Linked DNA regions of Xenopus tropicalis. The protein of the gene in region 2 interacts with the protein of the main gene of each other region in a pairwise test. Links are inferred from orthologs where the notes say so. Each region holds a gene or a part of one and is shown on either strand. Other genes may lie near its edges. The genes, in order: tdrd7 and gabpb1.

Region 1 (9,799 bases), on a different chromosome or scaffold from region 2:
TTTTAAAGTATATGTAAACACTAAAAACTAATTCATTTTTTTTTTGTGTCCAAGACATCCGATATTTTAGACAATACAAAAATATACTCAATTTTCTAGCAACGCCACCTGATGTTCACATTGGCCAAATGTGTCTACAGATAGGAAAAATACATTAGCTCTGAAAAAAGATAGGTGTGTGATGTTGCTTTGCTTAAAGGGTTAGTTCACCTTTCAGCGAACTCTTGCTATGTTATAGAATTTAATATTTTTAGAAGCTTATCAAGTAGTCTTTATTTTTGTATAGTTTTTAAATTACTGTATATACTCGAGTATAAGCCGATCCGAATATAAGCCGAGGTACCTAATTTTACCTAAGAAAACTGGAAAAACGTATTGACTCGAGTATAAGCCTAGAGTGGGAAATCACAGAAAAAGAGGAAAGCACCTTCACGCAGATGAACTGCTTCAGCCTTTATTCAAACCACAGCACACACATGCATCGTGCCGTGTGAACAGTAAGGCTGAGCGTTTATATATTCAAATTTCCTAGGGTGGGAAATGCAGCCACATATATTTTGAAACTACAACCAGCACCCAAGAATGCAACCAATTTTATGTGATGCATGGATCCTGTTTACTAGATACAACACAAGCATCCATTGCAAAGAAACAAGGACACGTATATCTGTTTTAGTACAAGGGTAAGGACCTGGTTTGCAGCACAGCCTACCAAAGCTCATATCAAATGTAAAAAAACAGACAGGAAAAGCCAAGAAGGACAAGAGGGTGGCTGAAGGCCAAGAGTGAGGATGGTATCAGATTTCTTCTATAGAAGAACTTGGCTGGGCCTGGAACAGTATGGAGAACAGAAAAGCTGCCACCAAAGAGGACAGCTTATTCTACATAAATGACTGATTGGGTATCCGTCTCTGCACAGGTTACCCACGGACTACCAAAGCACCAAAAGAGCAACCAATAATTTGATTAAGGAAGAATGCCAATACTTCCATTTGCCAGGTCCTGGCATCCACCATGAAGCAATATGGATTCGAAGATGGAACGAGCTTGTTGTGCGCTGCCAGGCTCCCCTCCCTGCGGCTCCCTCCCCCCCAGCGACTTCCTCCAGTTCCCCTGCAGCTCCCTCCAGCTTCCCCCCCCCCTGTGGCTCCCCTCCCCCAGCAACTTCCTCCTGTTCCCCTGCGGCTCCCTCCAGCTCCCCCCTCCCGCGCCTTCCTCTTCTGCCTCTTTCCTGCAAAGAGAACCAAACAACTATTGATCTGTGAGTTTGCAGTTTTAATTTTGTTGTCACTATGTATTACTTATACTCCTATTCAGTCCCTCTTTTTTTCATGAACCATTTTTTCACTTAAACCAGTGCCTAGTTGAACTCTAACAACCATGTAGCCACTGACATTGCACACTGGAGAGCTCCTGAACAAAAAGCTAAATCAATTAAAAACCACAAAAAAATTAAAATGAAGACCAATTGCAAATTGTCTAAAAATGTCACTGCCTGCATCATGCTAAAAATTAATTTGAAGATGAAATACCCCTTTAATACTAGAGAAACATCTGATAACTCTTTATCAGAGCAGAAGCCCCTGATATGATGCATTGGGAGATAACATTTTAGTCTGAACAGACAGCCTGTAACACAGACCCAGAATCTGTAAACTACGGCAAATGCTGTAGACAGTTTTTACCATTGTACCTTGAAATGCCAGGGACTATTTCCCTGTAAGAGCATGTTTTATTTAAATCTCCATCCTTTCCTCCCTAACCAAGGTGGCCTATCCAATTCATTGCATGCATAGCCTCATTTAGTCAAGCATTATCAGTTGCAGATAGACAGTCTGATAATTTTGAAAAACATAAAGAATAAAGACCCATTGAAACATTGCTTAGATGGGTCCATCCTCTTCAAGATTTCTGATTTGGTTTGGCTATTTAAGTTTTTGGTTTGGTTTTAAGTATCTTGGGATTTGGTTCAGTCTGGAAACCCATCCTGCAACTAGTCCATCCCTTGTTTATATGTATACTTATTTGCATAACCTGCAACAAAAATATAAAGATCTCTAGAAAGTAGCTGTACCGATCTTTGTAAAACATTCTTAAAGGTAGAGCTTTTGTGGAAATAATATTTCATGTCAGGACAGTTAGTTTTAACTGGGAATGTTCCCTTTGCCTATAAGTTATATTAAAGTGAACTCCTTTTAGGGCAACGACACACAGAGCTACATAGTAGCAGCTACTTGTCATGGCTACTAAACCCCAGAAAATAACTTTCCATAGACAGTACTAAGAATTGCCTCTGCTAAAACACAGAGACAATTATCGGTAAAAAAAAAAAAATCAGCATTGTCAATTTTTGCAGCTGTGACATGTAGCTGCTACTAGTAGCTCTGTGTGTCTTCAACCTTAAAATAACTGACTCAAAGCTGCATTTAGAGAAAGATCCTTCAAAATAACTCCAAGCCAAATTCTGTAATACATATCCTAGGTAAAATGAGATAGCCCCCACTTATGTATTAGACCTATCTGCCCATTCAAATTTGAGTCCTGCAAGGATTGGTTGGAGACCATTTTTCATTAGTACAGAGCAACTGTGATTCAAGGGGTTGAAAAACAATGATGAAGCAAAAAGGAAACTGTACCTTTTAGAACAAGTACTTAACAGATAATTCATATTTTAATAAGAAAACTATTAAAGATTCTTACCAAACTGGAGTATATATATCGGTAAATTCTGCCATTTTACATCTTTTACTATGACCTATCATTTTGTCATGGTTCGTGTACTCCTTCAGAGATCATTTGACAGGAAATAATGCAGCTCTAACTGTAACAGGAAGAAATGTGCGAATAAAAAACAGCATCTTCATTAGTTAGCTGAGGTAACCCAGAATATATGCGTACCCTTTGTTTATGTGCGAGCACGGTGAATCTTATGAGCTAGGGGCGAGGCACGTAGTACTTAAAATGGCAGTTTTCTGTTTAGGATTAAAGGAAAAGTAACACTAAAATTTTTTAAGTAAAAAAGCTATTCTACCCTGCACCAATAACTGCCCTATTATTATTATTAACATGTATTTATAAAGCGCCAACATATTCCGCAGCGCCTGTCTATCATGCAAACCACTTAGTATTTTAAATGCTTTAATAGAAAATACCTGCTAAAACTTGGCTTCCTGTCAATTGAACTACGGCGATATGGCGAAGGAAGGAGCAGCAACCACTATGCGACGATCGATTGAGTGAGCCTAGCCTTCTTAATTGTATAGGAAGGAGTCAGGCTAGGCGCGATCAATTGATTGTCGCATAGTGGATGCAGCTCCTTCCTTTGCCTTATCGCCAAAGTTTTAGCAGGTATTTTCTATTAAAGCATTTGAAATACTAAGTGGTTTGCAGGATAGGGCAGTTATTGGTGCAGGGTAAAATAGCTTTTTTACTTAAAAAATGTTCTGTTACATTTCCTTTAACCAGCAGCGCATACTAAAATGTATATAATATATATATTTTATAGAGACCTGCAGTGTATCTTTATCAGTGTATCAGGGTATCTTTCCTTTAAGTTCAAAGTCTTCTAGATAATGGAACATATACCTGTGTTAGATGCTGGTCCTTTTTGTTTTTCTTTTTTTTTTTTTTTAATATTGTATTTTAATGTTGTTCCTTTTGTTTTAGCCAATCATACACAAAGTTTGAAAAGTGTTGTTCCTGGCAGTGGTCAACCTCGCTGTGACCTCTCTGTGATCCAAAATAACCTGAAAGAGCTTCTGAACAAGCACAGTAATGGTTTATGGCTGTCGAAGTTGCCTCAGTTGTACAAGGAGACCTACAAACAGGATTTGGGTGGTGAAATGTTGAAACAGGTTCCAAGTTGGACACACATATGCATGGTATAACTTTTGATTTTTTTCTTAGTTAATTCTGTTTTATTAAATTATTAGTAAAATTTTTAATGAGGTGCATTTTAAAGGGGACCTGTCACCTCAAAAAAAATTCCAAATTTATTTCTACCATGTTAATTAAGCAAAACAAACTTCACTTACACTATATAATGTTTATAAATCTTGTTTCCTTTAGTCTTGGAGTTAGACTATTATAACAAGCAGGCAGTTGAGAATTGCAGTGACATCTAGGTAGTGCTGAATGGAAACTTAAAGTTGCGCCTGAGGCATAGTGGCGGGGCAGGCAATATATCATGGACAGCTGGGATTTTTAAATGCCTTTATAATGTGTTTGTATGTGTTAATAAAAAAATTTGGTTTTCATGTTTAATTTGAAACAGACTTTATACAGCTTTTTATGCCTGGGTGACAGGTCCCCTTTAAGAAACTTTATGTAGGCAAAGTCCTGTATTTAGATTTCATAATCACTGTTGGGGCAATGACACATAGGGCACCATGTTGACTAAAAATGCAGAAGCACTAATTTTCAAGTGATAAAATGGGATTGCCATATGTAAAGTGTTTTGCATGTGTGGGTTCCAACACTGAAGGATTTAGGGCACTAGAAGAAGGCTGTTTCCTGTGGGTGATAAACTGTCCTGTGTGTGTAGTTAACATGCATGATTTTATCTAAATCCCTTTTTAAAAATAACCTTGATTAATGTTTTTCAAAAATATTTATTTATTTCAGGTTCAGAAACTCGTAACCATGGGCCATACAGAAATGGTTCTTTATTCAACTGCAATAAAGCAACCCTCCTTTACAAAGAATGTTCAAAATCACAGTAACAACCAAGCTAAGCCAAATGTGCCTGTTGATTCAACCCCGTCATCACCTCCTCTGCAAAGTTCAGGCAATATCCCCAAAGATGAACTTAAACAGAAAATTTCAAAAGTATTGACTAAGTATAGCAATGGACTTTGGTATCACGCTTTACCCAAAGTCTTTGAGGACATGTTTAAGCAGAAATTGCCAACTGAAGTTTTAAATTTGGATTCCCTTACTGATATTTGCACAGTTGACCTTATTTCTGAAGAGCCATTTAAAGCTATCCTTTATGCTAAATCAGCTGAAAGGGCAAACCAAAATAGTAATCCCTCGGTCAACAATAATATCCCACAAAAACTCCAAGATCGAGAGTCACCCTTGTTGCCGGAAGAACCAGAGATGAATATGACTCCACCCCCTTTGGTCATACCTTCTGAGGCTTCTCCCTCTGTGCTCGTTGTGGAACTAAGCAGTACTAATGATGTGGTTATAAGGTGAGTGAAGGCCTATTTTGTGATTTTAAGTGTATATCCCTACAGTCGGAGTCCTTGACCAAATCTGTTTATTTAAAAAAAAAAAAAAAAAAAAAATATATATATATATATATATATATATATATATATATATATATATATATATATATATAATATATATAAAAAAAAGACAGACACAGAACATTTGCCATGCTCTCCTCTGCTCACTCATTCACTGCTGAGCTGCCAACCTCTGTGCCTTCCAGGTCGCCATTTTAATTAATCACATTCAAGATGATAACTTACCCAAGGCCCCAGATAACCATTTCCACGTTGCTCCAAATTGGTTAAAAATGCATTAATTAAATTGAACTCTTCTAGATTTTTTTTTTTTACTAGGTCTTTAATTTTTATGTGTGCTATTCTCATTATCCAACATTATGTGCTAGTTGGAAATGAAGTCAAGCGGGAGGACCATGGGCAGGCAACTTCATCAATGTCACCCCAATTTGACTGAATTTCTGTATACACTGCCACTGACATCTTGTTTAGACTTTTATAATGCTACAGAAAGCAATGGGAACTGATAGGGATGGTTGTAGCTAGAAAATAATGGAAATTGAGGCAAAACTAATCCCAATCTTTTCACAGCATTCGTACCCACCATCTCTCTCTCTGTAGAGAACACTCTCTCAATCTCTTAAGAAAAAAAACAATGATCCTATTTGTTGGGAGCACTAACACATTTTATGGACAGTCAAGGGGACCTGTCACCCAGGAATCAAACGCTGGATAATAAAAGTCCTTTGCAAAGTAAACATTAAACTTTTTTTTTTTTTGTAATTAAAACATTCATACCGGTTATAAAGTTATTTAAAAATCTGAGCTGCCAATCATATATTGCCTGTCTGCCTCTAGGTATAGAAGTGGAACAGTCAATCACTTTCACTTTCCATTCAGTACCTAGATGTTGTTGCCCTCCTCACATTCCCTTTCCCTCCTCACGGTCTACAATAGTGTGGCATGGGCATTAGGTCCCCCATTAATTAAGCTCTTAACCAAGATTTTGAAGTAATACAAAACTTCCACAAAATAGTGCCTGTCTGCTGGCTGTCATTGTGAATTCCAAACTGAAGTAAACAAGATTTATAAAATGTATATAAAGTAAATAAAGTTCATGTTGTTTAACTAGCACGATAGAAAAGAATTTGGAATTATTTCTTTGGGTGACAGGTTCCATTTAAGGGCCAATGCCCAAACCTCTTATTTATGTTTGTTTGTTATCCAACTGCTTAGACTTAGACTGTTAACTCTAGGGGGCAGGGACCTCCATCTGTCTGTGTCTCTTACTACATGGCACTTAATTTTAGAAATAACATAAAATAATTAAAGACATGCTTCCTAATGATTCCATTTATAGCTTATTTTTTATTTTTCCATACAAGTTTAAAAAATTAAGCAATATATATATTTTAATTAATATGGTTGATTCTTAACAAGTCAAGCGATTTCTTTAGGGATGGTTTTAACTTCTTTAGGGATGGGTAATAGAGGCATTTCACAGTTATTCTCTCCTCATCTGTTTAAATCTATAATGAATTAAATTTAAGCTTATCGATAAAAAGATTCTTTCCATTAGAAACTGACATTTTCTTATTAACCTTTGTGTAACAATATTTATGTCTTAGGTATATTGGCCGTGACTATTCTGCTGCTCAGGAACACATGGAAGATGAAATGAAGGACTTCTGCAGCAAAAGTTCTACTGCAAAGATTGGCTTTTTAAGGGTTGGTCAGCTGGTGGCTGCAAAAGCAGAGGAAGATGTTTGGCTGCGAGCACAGATATCTGCAATTGAAGGCAAAAAAGTCAAGGTTTATAGTTTTTCTTTTATAAATATCCAATTCCTCTTTCATCATTTTATTTTATTTTTTTTTAAATGTATAGAATTACAATAGAGAATAGTGCTTGTGTGGAGTTTGCATTAAAGCCAGGACATTTTAAACTACAGTTTCATCCACACAAGTATGAAGATGTTTATGATACACTGGCAAGCAATTTCTTTTGTGAAATCCAGAAAATTCCGAATTATGGAAAGGCCATATTACATAAACTCCATTATAAGCAAATAATTTTGATTTTTAAAAATTTCCTTTTTCTCTGTAATAATACCAACTAAGATATAATTAATCCTTAATGGAGGCAAAACAAGCCTATTGAGTTTATTCAATATTGAAATGATTTTTAGTAGACTTAAAGAATAAGTAAACCTTCTTTTTTTTTTTTTTTTTCTATCGGTAAAATTACTCTAAACAGTCTCCAGAATTACCTACCTTTGTCCCAGCATTCTCTCTGACCTGATTCCTCAGTTAGAAGTTAATTGTTTTTCTTTGCTTCCTTGTGCAGAGTGAAGCCCCGCCCCCACTTCCTGTTCAGGTCTCTCATAAAAAAAAAACCCTGATAATGCACAGACTGGCTGCTGCTGCCTCCAGGCATGCCCAGAAGGCTCTCCAGGTCTACTAAAGGTAGTCGAATTGAAGAGAGAACTGAACAGGAAGTGGGGGCAGGGCTTCACTCTGCACAAGGAAGCAAAGAAAAATGATTAACTTCTAACTGAGGAACCAGGTCAGAGAGAATGCTGGGACAAAGGTAGGTAATTCTGGAGGCCATTTAGAGTAATTTTACTGATAAGAAAAAAAAAGGTTTACTTATTCTTAAAGTTATAGAGATCCAAATTGCAGAAAGATCCCTTATGCAGTAAATGACAGGTCCCGAGCATTCTGTATAACAAGTCCCATACCTGTAAATACGAAGTGATCTATCAAATATTGATTGCTAATCAGAGTCTTTATGTGCCTTAGCCCTTAGCTGATGAAAGTTCACATGTCCACATGTGGACAATACTAAATTTCCTGGTTTTGGTTTGGTTTTGAAAGTTGTAAAGAACTTCAGAGTTCTTTAGAATTGAATATAAAAATAGATTTCCTTGGAGAATATTAATGGAAAGGACAGTGCTTACTAATGGCACAGGCAAATTGTCGAAAGGTATACTTAAGTCTTAGTAGCCTTTTTTTTCCATTGATAGAAGTATTGATTCCCGAATTTAAGGACAATATATTCAGTAAACAATTTTGATATTGCCTGGATTTCTGCAATAAAGGAGATGTAAACACAAAAAAAAGTATACTGTAGCTAGAAAATCAGTGCGCTGCAGAAGATTGTTTATTTTATAAATGCTGTACTGATTTTATAACTGATTGCAAATATGCTTCTTTTTGAGCGCTCCGGCCAGCGATCCCTTGAATGGCACTCATTTGGAGTAAAGGTTTGAATTGAGGTTGCAGCTTCTTACTGAATCTTAAGAAGCAATCACTATTTTCACGATGCATGTGCTTATGAAGTAAATTAAGTAAGAGCAAATGTAAAAAAAGACCTAAGTGCATTTTTTAAAACAAGATAGAGTAATAGATAATTTGTTTTATATAATTCCAGGTCTGCTATGTGGATTATGGATTTAGTGAGATAGTTGACATCACTAAAGTATGTAAATTAGGAAAACAGTTCTATACTCTTCCGTTTCAAGCAACAAAATGCAGACTTGCAGGTAAAGTTGATCATACCTTGTAAAAAAATCTTTATTTTAAATTTTCTGTTACAAAGTTCACAAGACGAAATTAGGCTCATGTACATTAGAAGGTGCAGTGTACTAAAACATGTATGGCCACACACCCCCCTTAGAACTTTCTTTTTTTTTTTAACTCTTTATTTGTGTTTTATTTTTTTGAGAACAGGTTATGCTTATAGTTACATTTCTCATAAATTTCTTTGTTGTAAAACAGGGGAAGGGGGGAGGCTCATCAGGTGTGAGGGGAGGGGGGGGGAGAGAAGAGGGAATAGGGAACAGGGGGGGGGGGCAAAGAGAAGGGAGAGGAGGGAGGGAGTAAGGGAAGGGAGGAACAGTAGGGGATAAAAGTAAAGTTAACATAACATCCACATTATCAATGTATGATATACCGGGTATCAAATATTTAAGTTAGTGAGAGGAATCCGGGGGTCCTTACTTTTTTTTTTTTTTTTCCCCTCTTTTGGGTCGCTCTTCTTCATGTGTGCCCTTAGAACTTTCAAGGTAAGTTACGAAAAGCTCATCAGTCTCAGCTTGGTAACTTACTCCCAGAGTGCAAAGAGATTGACCATGGTTTTAATTTTATACTAAACTTGGCTTTTCACCCTTAGCATTAGACTATATTTGTAAATAAGGCACTGTTAAACAAAAACTATACCTCCAGAATGAATATTTAACCAACAAGTTTATATTATGTTATAAAATTGTCCTTTTTACATCCTTTCCCTTGATCTACCATTTAGTGATGGGTTGTGTGCTCCCTCAGAGGTCACATGACCACAAATAATGCAGGAAGAAGTGTGGAAACAAAAGGCAGGACTCTGTCCATTCATTGGCTGATGTAGCCTAGCATGTATGTGTGCTTTGGCTTGTTTGTGTGCACTGTGAATCCTATGATCCCATTTTTATAGAGACCTACATTGTTTGGGGGTATAGTTTTCCTTTAACTCTGCTGGTAATTTTGCCCCATTGTGCTGAAACCATTGGGGAAAAAATCGAAATTGA
Region 2 (9,799 bases):
TACTAAGATATAATTAATCCTTATTGGTTGCAGAACAATCCTATTGGGCTTATTTAATGTTTAAATTATTTTTTGTAGACTTAAGGTATGGTGATCCAAATTACAGAAAAATCCCTTATCAGGAAAACCACAGGTCCTGAGCGCTCTGGTTAACAGGTCTCCTACCTGTCGTATGGAGTTGCAGTGAATTATGATGGCGGTAAGTCACAGGTTTGAGAATCCTGCTATAAGCCAATGGCAGACTTCCTGAATTCCCTTTATATACAGTGACTCGTTTATAAATGTGATCCAGAAAATAAAGTGAAAAGTAAGAAAGCATGGAACAGACAAAGGCACATACCTTAATTTATAAGAAAGGGTAAAGGCACATAGATTTAAGACTGTAAACTCCCTTTTACTCAAGGTATTTCTCATTATACACAGAGACAACTGCTTTAACAAAATATAAAAGCTTATTCCAGTACAATATAAAACAAGTCATTTACTGTGATTTTCAGTAAAACAGTGGCACATCTCTGGAGTTCCTGAGGACGCGCTTTATTTTAGATTTTTATATAAATATTTGGTCATATCATGAGAGTTTAAATCGACTGAAATGCCAGCACAGCTTACAGTCTGCTGAAGAGCGAGTAGGCTCTGTTTCTCAGGCATGGGCTTCTTTACCCTTCTGTACAGGAAGAATCCATCTTTAACCTCCAATTTGTGTTTTAAACATTAAACTCTCAAGTGCAAAACACAATTTTATCCAAATAGTGTAATATTTTCTTTACTTCATCACATTATTTTCATAAATCAAAGAAAAACAAAACTGAAAAGTAAAAGGGAGATAAAGTAATTTGTTGCATAATGGGGTTTAAATGAAATGTAACAATTCTGAATGCATAGTTTCAGCTCTGTGCCAGTAACAGAACTGTTGTCGTTTGTGAGGTCTTCCTACGATACAGAGCAAATACACTCTCTTTGAAGGGAACTGCATTATAAATGGAAACAATTATATATTGCCTAATGAAAACTTAAGTCACTTGAAGCAACTTTCCAGTGGTCATTTACTGAAAGTTGACAGTGTTTTTAAGTCAGAAGTAAATGCAATTGCTATAGAAAGCAGAATCCTTCTGTCCCTTGCTATTCTCTGCAGTGCTGGTTCTGACTACAGGCTTTACCAAAACAATGTAGCAAGACTCCAATTTCCACAGTGTTCTGCGGTTAAAGTGGTAGTTCACCTTTAAATTAACTTTTAGTATGATCTATTCTGAGACAATTTGCAATTGGTCTTCATTTTTTATTTGTGGTTTGTTTGTTTTTTTACTAATTATTTTACTTTTTCCCCCCAGCAGCTCACTAGTTTGGGATTTCAGCAGTTGTCTTGTTGTCAGGGTCCAACTGAGCCTAGAAACCAGGCAGCGGTTTGAAAAAGTGACAGGAATATGAACAGAGGAGGGCCTAAATTGAAACACAAGGAATAAAAAGTAACAATGACAATAAAAGTATAACTTCATAGAGTAATAGATTTTGGCTGCTGGGACAGTGGCCACCATTTGAAAGCTGGAAAGAGTTGCTAAGAATAGGCCATTCAGAATGTAAGGAATTGTAGAACTAGAGTCTTGGCTGGAGGAGAAATAACTCTAGCTACATTTTTTAGACCTTCATGTAGTCAGAAGCAGCAGGGTGGGGAATAGCAATGGACATGCACTGCTTTAAGTAGCAATTTTATTCACAAATCCCTTTTAAATTCCTAACTCTTAAATTCATCTATATTGGGAAGTTGCTTAGTACAACAGCTTCCTTCATTATGCAAAACTTCCATTATCTGGGTGTCAAGTTTGATTTTAAATGTATGCTCAGAACAGATGCACCACCTCTTATTTCATGCGGTTACCAAGCCTGGATATAGGAGTAACCAAAAGGTTAATGTTCATGATTGACAGACACACTCAGCGGGAGTTTGTAAAATTATATTGTCACTTTATCAGTTCTGAAACTGGAAGGATGTGACATGAGAAAAAAACTGCACTACTGGGCAACATTCAATGTGTGTATGTGTGTGTGTACGTTCTGTGTCACTGAAGGATAACCAAGGCTGACGTATGCAGTTAGAATATACAAAAACATGCAGCATATGTACAAAAGTTCTCTCTCTTTTTCTTTAAAAAATATTAGCTTCATATACAAGTTAATCTACCTGGATGTTCTGGAAGTTAAACAAGATATAAAAATTTTTTTGCTTACTTGAAAAAAAAAAAGTGAAATTAAAAAAAAAAAAGTTTTCAAACAGAGACACAAATTGAAAAGCTGTACAGAGATTTCCACTAGGAAACGTTAACTTCAAAGGCTGTTGATCTGATTGGAGAAAGCATTGCAGTTTGAGAAACGGTCGCACGTGGTTTACCAAAACATCTTTGGCAATTGGTGCATTTCACATGTCAAATTAATCTCTACTAAAAACCGATTGGAAAAAAAGTCACCCAGAATGTTATTTCTGCGTCTTTCAGAAAATCAGCATCAACTTAACTGCCAACTGTAAGAAAAAAATAGGGGGGGGGGGGGGAAATATCCAGACTATATACAGTATTTCCATTTTAAATACTTCTCACAAAGAGTGACTATTGTAACACCAGCATTTGTATAATTCAGGGACATATAAAAGTCTGAGGTTTGCTCAGGGGATCGCTTCTATTACCAACTGAAGCCATACAGTGCATAGCTTGAGTCTTCTTCTCCAATGAAAACAAGTGAGTCCGTGCTGGCTAGCTACTTAAACAACTTCTTTGTTAGTCTGCAATCTGGTCATAGCTTCTAGCTTCTGTCTGTAGGCTTCTGCCTCTTGTTCCTTCTTTAGAAGCTGCTGCCGGTACTTCTGGGCTTCACGGTTGGCCTCATCAAGTTGCTTCTGAAGTGTTTCTCTTTCCTGTACACAAAAGTAAAATATAGGTATCCTGCATTAGTTGCCCTATGTAGTCCCTGAGTAAAATGATATGGAAATAGTCAAACAGACTTAAAAGCATGCAGTATGACTTTGATTGTCTGGTCTTTAAAACTGTGCTGGTCCCGGAGCTTAGGGTCACACCATATGCCAACCTAAATGGCTAGCAACTTTGAAGTGAGCCTACCCAGCTTCCATATTTTAGTCTGCCCGTATCTCCAGATATCCTATAAACACTTATATATAATAAAAGTCAGTATCAGTAAGGGTGGACACCTTGGGTCTTGCCCTTAACAAAGTACTATCAAGCAACTGAGGCAATCCATTTTATCTTTGCACTTTAGCATGAAATAGCACAAACCCTGGGTTTAAAAAGCCCACACCTATAAATATTAAAGTAAGGTAAAATACTTATTTCAAAAGATACTAGAAAAAAATTGAGGGAAAAAGTACAAGGAGAAGCATCCATATAAAGCTAATGCTAACAGGTATGTTATTTAGCAGCAGTAATTTTTCTCAGCAGTGAAAAAGTGGAATTTTCTACATTTCCCACTGTGGAGAGTTGGAATCTCTTTAAAAGGATGGCAATACATGGGCCAACCTATGAGGCGAAGACACACAAGGCGATTAGTCACCGCGACTTTTAAAAAATATGGTAGCGGCAACTAATCACGCCAATTTAACGGCCATAGATTAATATACAAGTCGGGGTGACTACTCAAATGTCCTTCGCAGCATGCTGATTAGTCTGTGTGACTTTTTAAAAGAGTCATGGCGACTAATCACTCCGTGTCTTCACCCATATGGTATTTGGACTGATTGACCCATGGGTTTGGACGCTTGTAAAACCACCTTCATATTGTTCTGTCCAATCGTCTACACAATCATAACAGCAGGAATCTGGCAGGAAGTAGAAGAAGGAGTTTTCTTTTGGGCAACTGACAAAAGGTTTATGCCAGAGCCAATAAGCCTTTATCCACCAAGACCACAGGATTATTGATCTAACTGCTCTCTTATTTGCCACACACCCAGATGGTTGGGCAGTATGCTAAAGTCAGCCAAAGTTCTCTAACAAGTCTTGGCATGTAGGGCCAGTAAGTGTGGCAAACATGCACAGCACTACTAGAAAATACAAAAGGCTGCAATTTCAGAAGACTATTGTGCAGACCTGCTACACTTGTGGAAATTACAGTTGTCTACAACAAGACGCGAGTATAGAATGCCGTGCACTCATGGCTTCTGAATGCTGCCGCATCTCTGCTACATATAAAATGATCATATGGCTTCTTCATTTAACCTTCAAGTCTCTTACACAGTGAAATGAATAAAAATAAATAAAACATTCTAAACCGTAATTTAAAAAAAAAAAAAAAAAAAAAAAAGGCTTCATGCATGAAAACAACGGCCACAAACTCAGTGTTTTTGAAACATGAAAAAAAAAAAGATTAAAACCCAAATGGGAAGAGGAAAAAAAAATAATCACAAACACAGATTTGAAAGGTTTTTGGAGATTCTCTCAGAAACATAAAATAAAAATACATTTTTTTTTCTGAAAATTCTGTAGTTGTACCTGAGAGAACTCTTGAGTATTCACAATATAGATTTCTGATCCAGAAGTTTCTGGAATCTGGCAGATTAAACAAGAGTTACAATTGAACCCACATAAAAACAGAGAAAATCCCAACATTATCTATAAATGTTCTCATTGCTCCTCACCGCAGCCGTCCTACATGGTTCTGAGGTTCAGCGCATTAGACCCTTGAATTTATCATAATGCTAATCTTAAAATTTTGCCAAACATGGTACAAAAAAAGTCTTTTTGCATGAATGACAACTGTTTTTGCATGGATACACTACTGTGTGATGCTGTGTATTCCTTGTTTTTGGAGGAAAAACACTGTACATTTTCCATAAAGCAAAAGCAGATAAAACCGAAACCAGTACAGATATCCCAGAGGCAATTAAAAATAAAAAAAAGATGCATGTCACAATAAACCCACCACAATAAGGCACTGGGTGTTAAGACAAATGTCCACTCAAGCAACTATGAGCCTTTTCAAATATATATTTAGGATTTGACACATCCCAGTATTGGAAACCTATACAGTCCATGTTGGCTGTATAAAATCCACTGCCATGGGAGCCTGTGACACTGTTTAGTTTAAGTTTAAGGCAGTAGACATTATAATTCTAGAGCACTCTCCAGCTCTAAGCAAAGCACTATGTTCCAGCTGCTATTTGGCAGCAAAATGCTTACATGAGATTTAATTCTAAAGACAGGTGTGACAGATCATCCCAATAAAAAGAGGTGGTGCAAAAATTATAGGGAACACCCAAAGTGCTGATAATGTAGAAGAACTGCACACCTGGGATGGCTGAAGGCACTTGATATCACATCATGTAAATGGAAAAATCAGATGATGCAAATCATTGATTATGTATATTCATTAGGTATCTCTCTTCCACATACTGCACAATAAAGAGGAACATTAAAATTAAAAATTATCAGCTTTCAATGCCATAAAGAGGAATAATGAGCTTTATAAAAAAAAAAAAAAGTTAATAGGATCAATAAACTTTAAAACGGTATTTTTTGATTAGCTTAATACAGGGCAAACATGATAGACATATAAGCTGATCTAGAATAGATCAAACTGGGGAATTTTGAAAGATTACCTGCAATTCCATCTATTTTAAGATTTAGCTCAATATTCCTGACTGTCAAAAACAATTTATTTACAGTCAGGAAAGTATGAATTAATTGATATGTTTATCAATGCCGAAACCTGGGTCAATTAAGCAGAATGTGTTACACTGTTTTGTTAATCACCATTCTGTTTTTGGGGACTGTTCCAGATCAGAAAATAACCACCATCCAAATCCTTACTCCCTTATGTGTATAGCATGAGAGGAGAAAGAATTCAGACAATTATTTGTATATAAATTTGCAGATAAAGAGAACTGTGGGAAGACAACAGTGTGAAATTAGGGGTTAAAAGAAGATGGGAGAAAATGGGTGTTACAAAGGTTTTACAAACTTGTCCCCAATCTACTATTCAATGGCAAACTCTGTTTTCCAATATTTACTGTCCTAGTCCCTTGCTGTAAATTCCTTATAGACATTTGTTTGAAAATTCAAAATATTACTAGGATATAAAACCTTGTAAAATAGAATATCCTGCCCCTACACAGATCAAGCAAATATTACAGTTTAATCATCTGTTAATGCTACATTTATACTAGCCTAGTATGATAAATTTCACAAAATGCCCTCATCTAGTATACATTAATACTCAGGACATTCTGAAATAAATCTGTACAGCTCTCAGAAGGGGAGTAATGATCTACACCGCATCAGAGATTAATATTCATTTGCAGTCTCTTCATTAGTACACAAACTTAAAAAGCGGAGCACTCATTTAGAAACTGCCACAGGCTAAAAAGAAGACTGGATTAAGAAATGAGTTACCTCAATTTCTGCAGATTCAACACGATTTTCAATGATCTCAATGCACTGCCTTTTAGAAGGAGGCTCTTCACTGATTACAGTTTCTTCAGCAATGTCTGTTGCCGGTACGGTCAGTACTAAAACACATACATATATATTCATTACCATATGCAAGTGCTTTTAAAAATGTTGTAAGAAAATGAATTACATATTAAAGTATGATGGAAAATTTTAAAAGTAATTGACAAAACTAGATGAACCAGAGCAGCAGATAATAAAAGTTAGAATAAAAATGTTCCACTGCATAAAGTCCAAATACTGGACATTATCCCTTTGTAAAGACTACACAAAAAATCCTGTCAGTTTATAGAAATGTACATTTTTTTAGTAAATAAATGACTTACCTTGCTGGCCATCTGGCATTGTTACAATAATTGGCTGACCAATGCCACTGGTTGGAATTGCAGACTGGAGACTGCCAAGATGAATGCCATCCGTGACTATTGTAATGACTTGCTGGCCTCCTGAGCTAACAACTTGTTGGATTGCACCATCTACTGACTCCGCAGTCACCACTTCTTCTGTGGCTACTACTGTAAACAAAAAAAAAAAAAAACCCCAGATATTTCAGCATTGTCCAAAAAAAAAAACATTAAAGACTAACAATATCAGGATAGCTTTGCAGATAGAACCATCCACTGCCCTCTGGTTCATTCATCCTTCTCAGTGCTCCGATACAGACACGGTTCATAAAATAAAGCATGATGTGGAAAAAAATACCCCCTGCATTAGGAAGTAACCTGTGTTAGAATATTTTAAAGCCCTTTCACAAAAATGGATAAATGGCAACAATGTGGCTTTCTATCCTATCCCAGATTTGATTTATCATTACTCTTTATTTATGTAGCACCAACATATTTTGCAGTATTTACAGAGATGACACATCATTCACATCAGTCCCTACCAATCTATGGCCTGTATCACTTTTACACACATTATGGTCAATTTTATCAGGAGCCAATTAACCTTCCTGTATATTTTTGAAACATATATGGAAAGACATGCAGATTTGGCTGGAACTGAACCTGAAACCAAAATATACAAGGCCAAGGAAAATGTGTAAGATTGGCAAATATATAATAAAACAGCTAGTTAAACATTACATTAAAAATTAAAAAAAGGTATAACTATGCTACCTATGTAACATACACAGTTTTCATATACTGTACATTCAGTGTGCTCATTCATGATTTCAGATATTAGCTGCTATACCTTGCGGTACATTTAATGTGACTTCAAAATGAAAAAGTCTTTATTAAACATACCAAAAAGCTAGCAGACAATTTGAGCTGCAATTTTCAGCCATTCCAGTTATTCCAACCTGGTTGATAAGATCTGTTCTTTGATATTTTTTTTTTCAAGATTTTGTGAATAAAAGTGGAAGCCTTTCTATCTACGCAGTAAATGTAAAGCAGAAGTCTTTGCGTCACGACCAAGACTTTAGATCAGACATATTTTGACAATCATCCAAGCTTTCATCTCTATAATTAATGATACCATTATTTTGAATTGCAGAATCCACTTTCTTCCTCTGGAGAAAAAATTGCTAGTCAGACGTCACTAGCCGAGTAAGAAAAGAAATTTGTGGCCAAGTTCATAGATAAAGCACATGGTACTGAAATAATGTACAAATTGTGCTGCACAATCATATGCTAATGTAAGAGTCAAAGCAAAAACGTGAAGCTTTGATTTTGACATTTTACAGCTAGGTGCCACAGTGCCTTAAAAACAAAAATATATGGATACGTTTTTTACCATATAAACTGTATTATATTGTGAACTCACAAGCAGATTTTTATTCACATTTTCTGGCCAAAATGCATGAATACATCTGCACGTGTTGGATTTGGCATTAATATCTGCACCTAAATTGATTGGCAAAACAGGGTCAATGTTGACTCTAAATGCCTATGCTTCACTTTTGCTGAGTAATACATCAGTGCAATCTAGCCACTTGCCTATCCTTTATTTCCCCCAGAGGGTCAAAAACCAGTAAATGGGAGCCAAGAAAGTGGGCTAATTGGAATAAAATTTTCAGTGAATACATCTGCATATTTCTGGAGCTATAGCAGAAGACCAACAGGACAAAGTTTTCACATATCTTTATCATATGAAGGAAGAGGCACCTTGACCAAACCCTGAACTATTTATAAAGGGGGAGGTCCGAAGTCAAAACATGTGAAAATTAACTGAAATTAAGATCTCAGCCAGAACATATTAATCTTCTTCTCCTTTACTAATATAATGGCGCCTCTCTCAAATTTCTGCTACTGTGCTATGTGCAAGAAGTGCACATAATAATTTCAAACTAAATTTTAGGTTGCTATGAAAGAGCTACTTGTATTCTCAAATATATCATTATTTAATGAAGGAAAGATATTTAGAAATACAGCAAGTTCTAAAGGTGTTTAGGGATACATTCAGGAAAAACCATTTGTAGTAATCTACGTTAATGTTCAGTGATACTCTAAAGTTCTGTAGGCCATAGGGGAAACAAATATATACTGTAATAAATGCATATGCTCTTTATGCAAATAACAAAGATGTACCTCTGCAAAATAACTCAATTATTAAGAGATAAAAAACAGTAGGGGTCATTTACAAACCCAGAGGGAGCCCCTTTGCACTTACTTAGCAGCAACGGCAGGGGCACCAATGCTCTGTGTCTGTGATGAGTGCCAAAGACAGCAGCATCAGGATTCGCAGCTTAGCATTAAGGCCTGGTGCGAGCTGCACCTCCTGCTGCTTCCTTACTTGCACATGATTCAGAGGCTGGTGGGGGACTCATTCCTGCCTCCCCCCCCCCCCCCCTCTCGGTCCCTCACATATACAACACTAACAGTCAGCAATGCAGTAACAGGAGCCACAAGACTATGCACTGTGAGGCCTGTGGCTATTACCACAATGCACCACACAGTATGCTTTGTTTACTTTGCACACTGCATGGCGCATTGTAAATGATGCCTATGAACTATTAAGCGATCAGAGACATAAAATCTTCCTCCAGCAGCAAAGTTAAGAAAGAGGGTTTCTGATCACCAATTAAATTAAATTCTTTGCTTTCATTGCTTTTTGCTGTATACGATTGTGATTGCTCAATTAGTCATTCTGTGTGTATCTCTTTATCTATTTCTTTCCCTATTTTAAAATGCTCTAATTAGACAGATATTAGAAAAGTACTGAATTGGGGCTGTCAAGAATTATGTGCCTGAGCATGATACATTCAGATACTGTATAATTCAGTGTAGAAAAATACCTTTTTAAAACCCCAACTGTTTAAACATGTAACTTTTAAAGGCCATAGCTTTTCATGGGTAAACATCTACATGTGGCATTATTATTTTAATATAATCCAGGACAAGAGCATGCTG

The links.
Region 1: the proteins of gabpb1 (region 2) and tdrd7 interact in binary tests that used the Homo sapiens proteins (3 or more experiments, as listed by UniProt). The two-hybrid records come from large-scale screens. The link is inferred for Xenopus tropicalis from reciprocal best matches to the Homo sapiens genes GABPB1 and TDRD7.

The regions. Positions count from the first base shown.
Region 1 is NC_030677.2:107,345,295-107,355,093, forward strand, and holds part of tdrd7 (tudor domain-containing protein 7), read left to right. Parts: intron 1-3,666; coding exon 3,667-3,881; intron 3,882-4,623; coding exon 4,624-5,195; intron 5,196-6,862; coding exon 6,863-7,046; intron 7,047-8,664; coding exon 8,665-8,776; intron 8,777-9,799. UniProt on the Homo sapiens protein: Component of specific cytoplasmic RNA granules involved in post-transcriptional regulation of specific genes: probably acts by binding to specific mRNAs and regulating their translation.
Region 2 is NC_030679.2:104,969,184-104,978,982, reverse strand, and holds the end of gabpb1 (GA-binding protein subunit beta-1), read right to left. Parts: intron 6,962-9,799; coding exon 6,773-6,961; intron 6,506-6,772; coding exon 6,390-6,505; intron 5,390-6,389; exon of another isoform or gene 5,287-5,389; intron 4,548-5,286; coding exon 4,491-4,547; intron 2,906-4,490; coding exon 2,753-2,905; 3' UTR 2,128-2,752; downstream 1-2,127.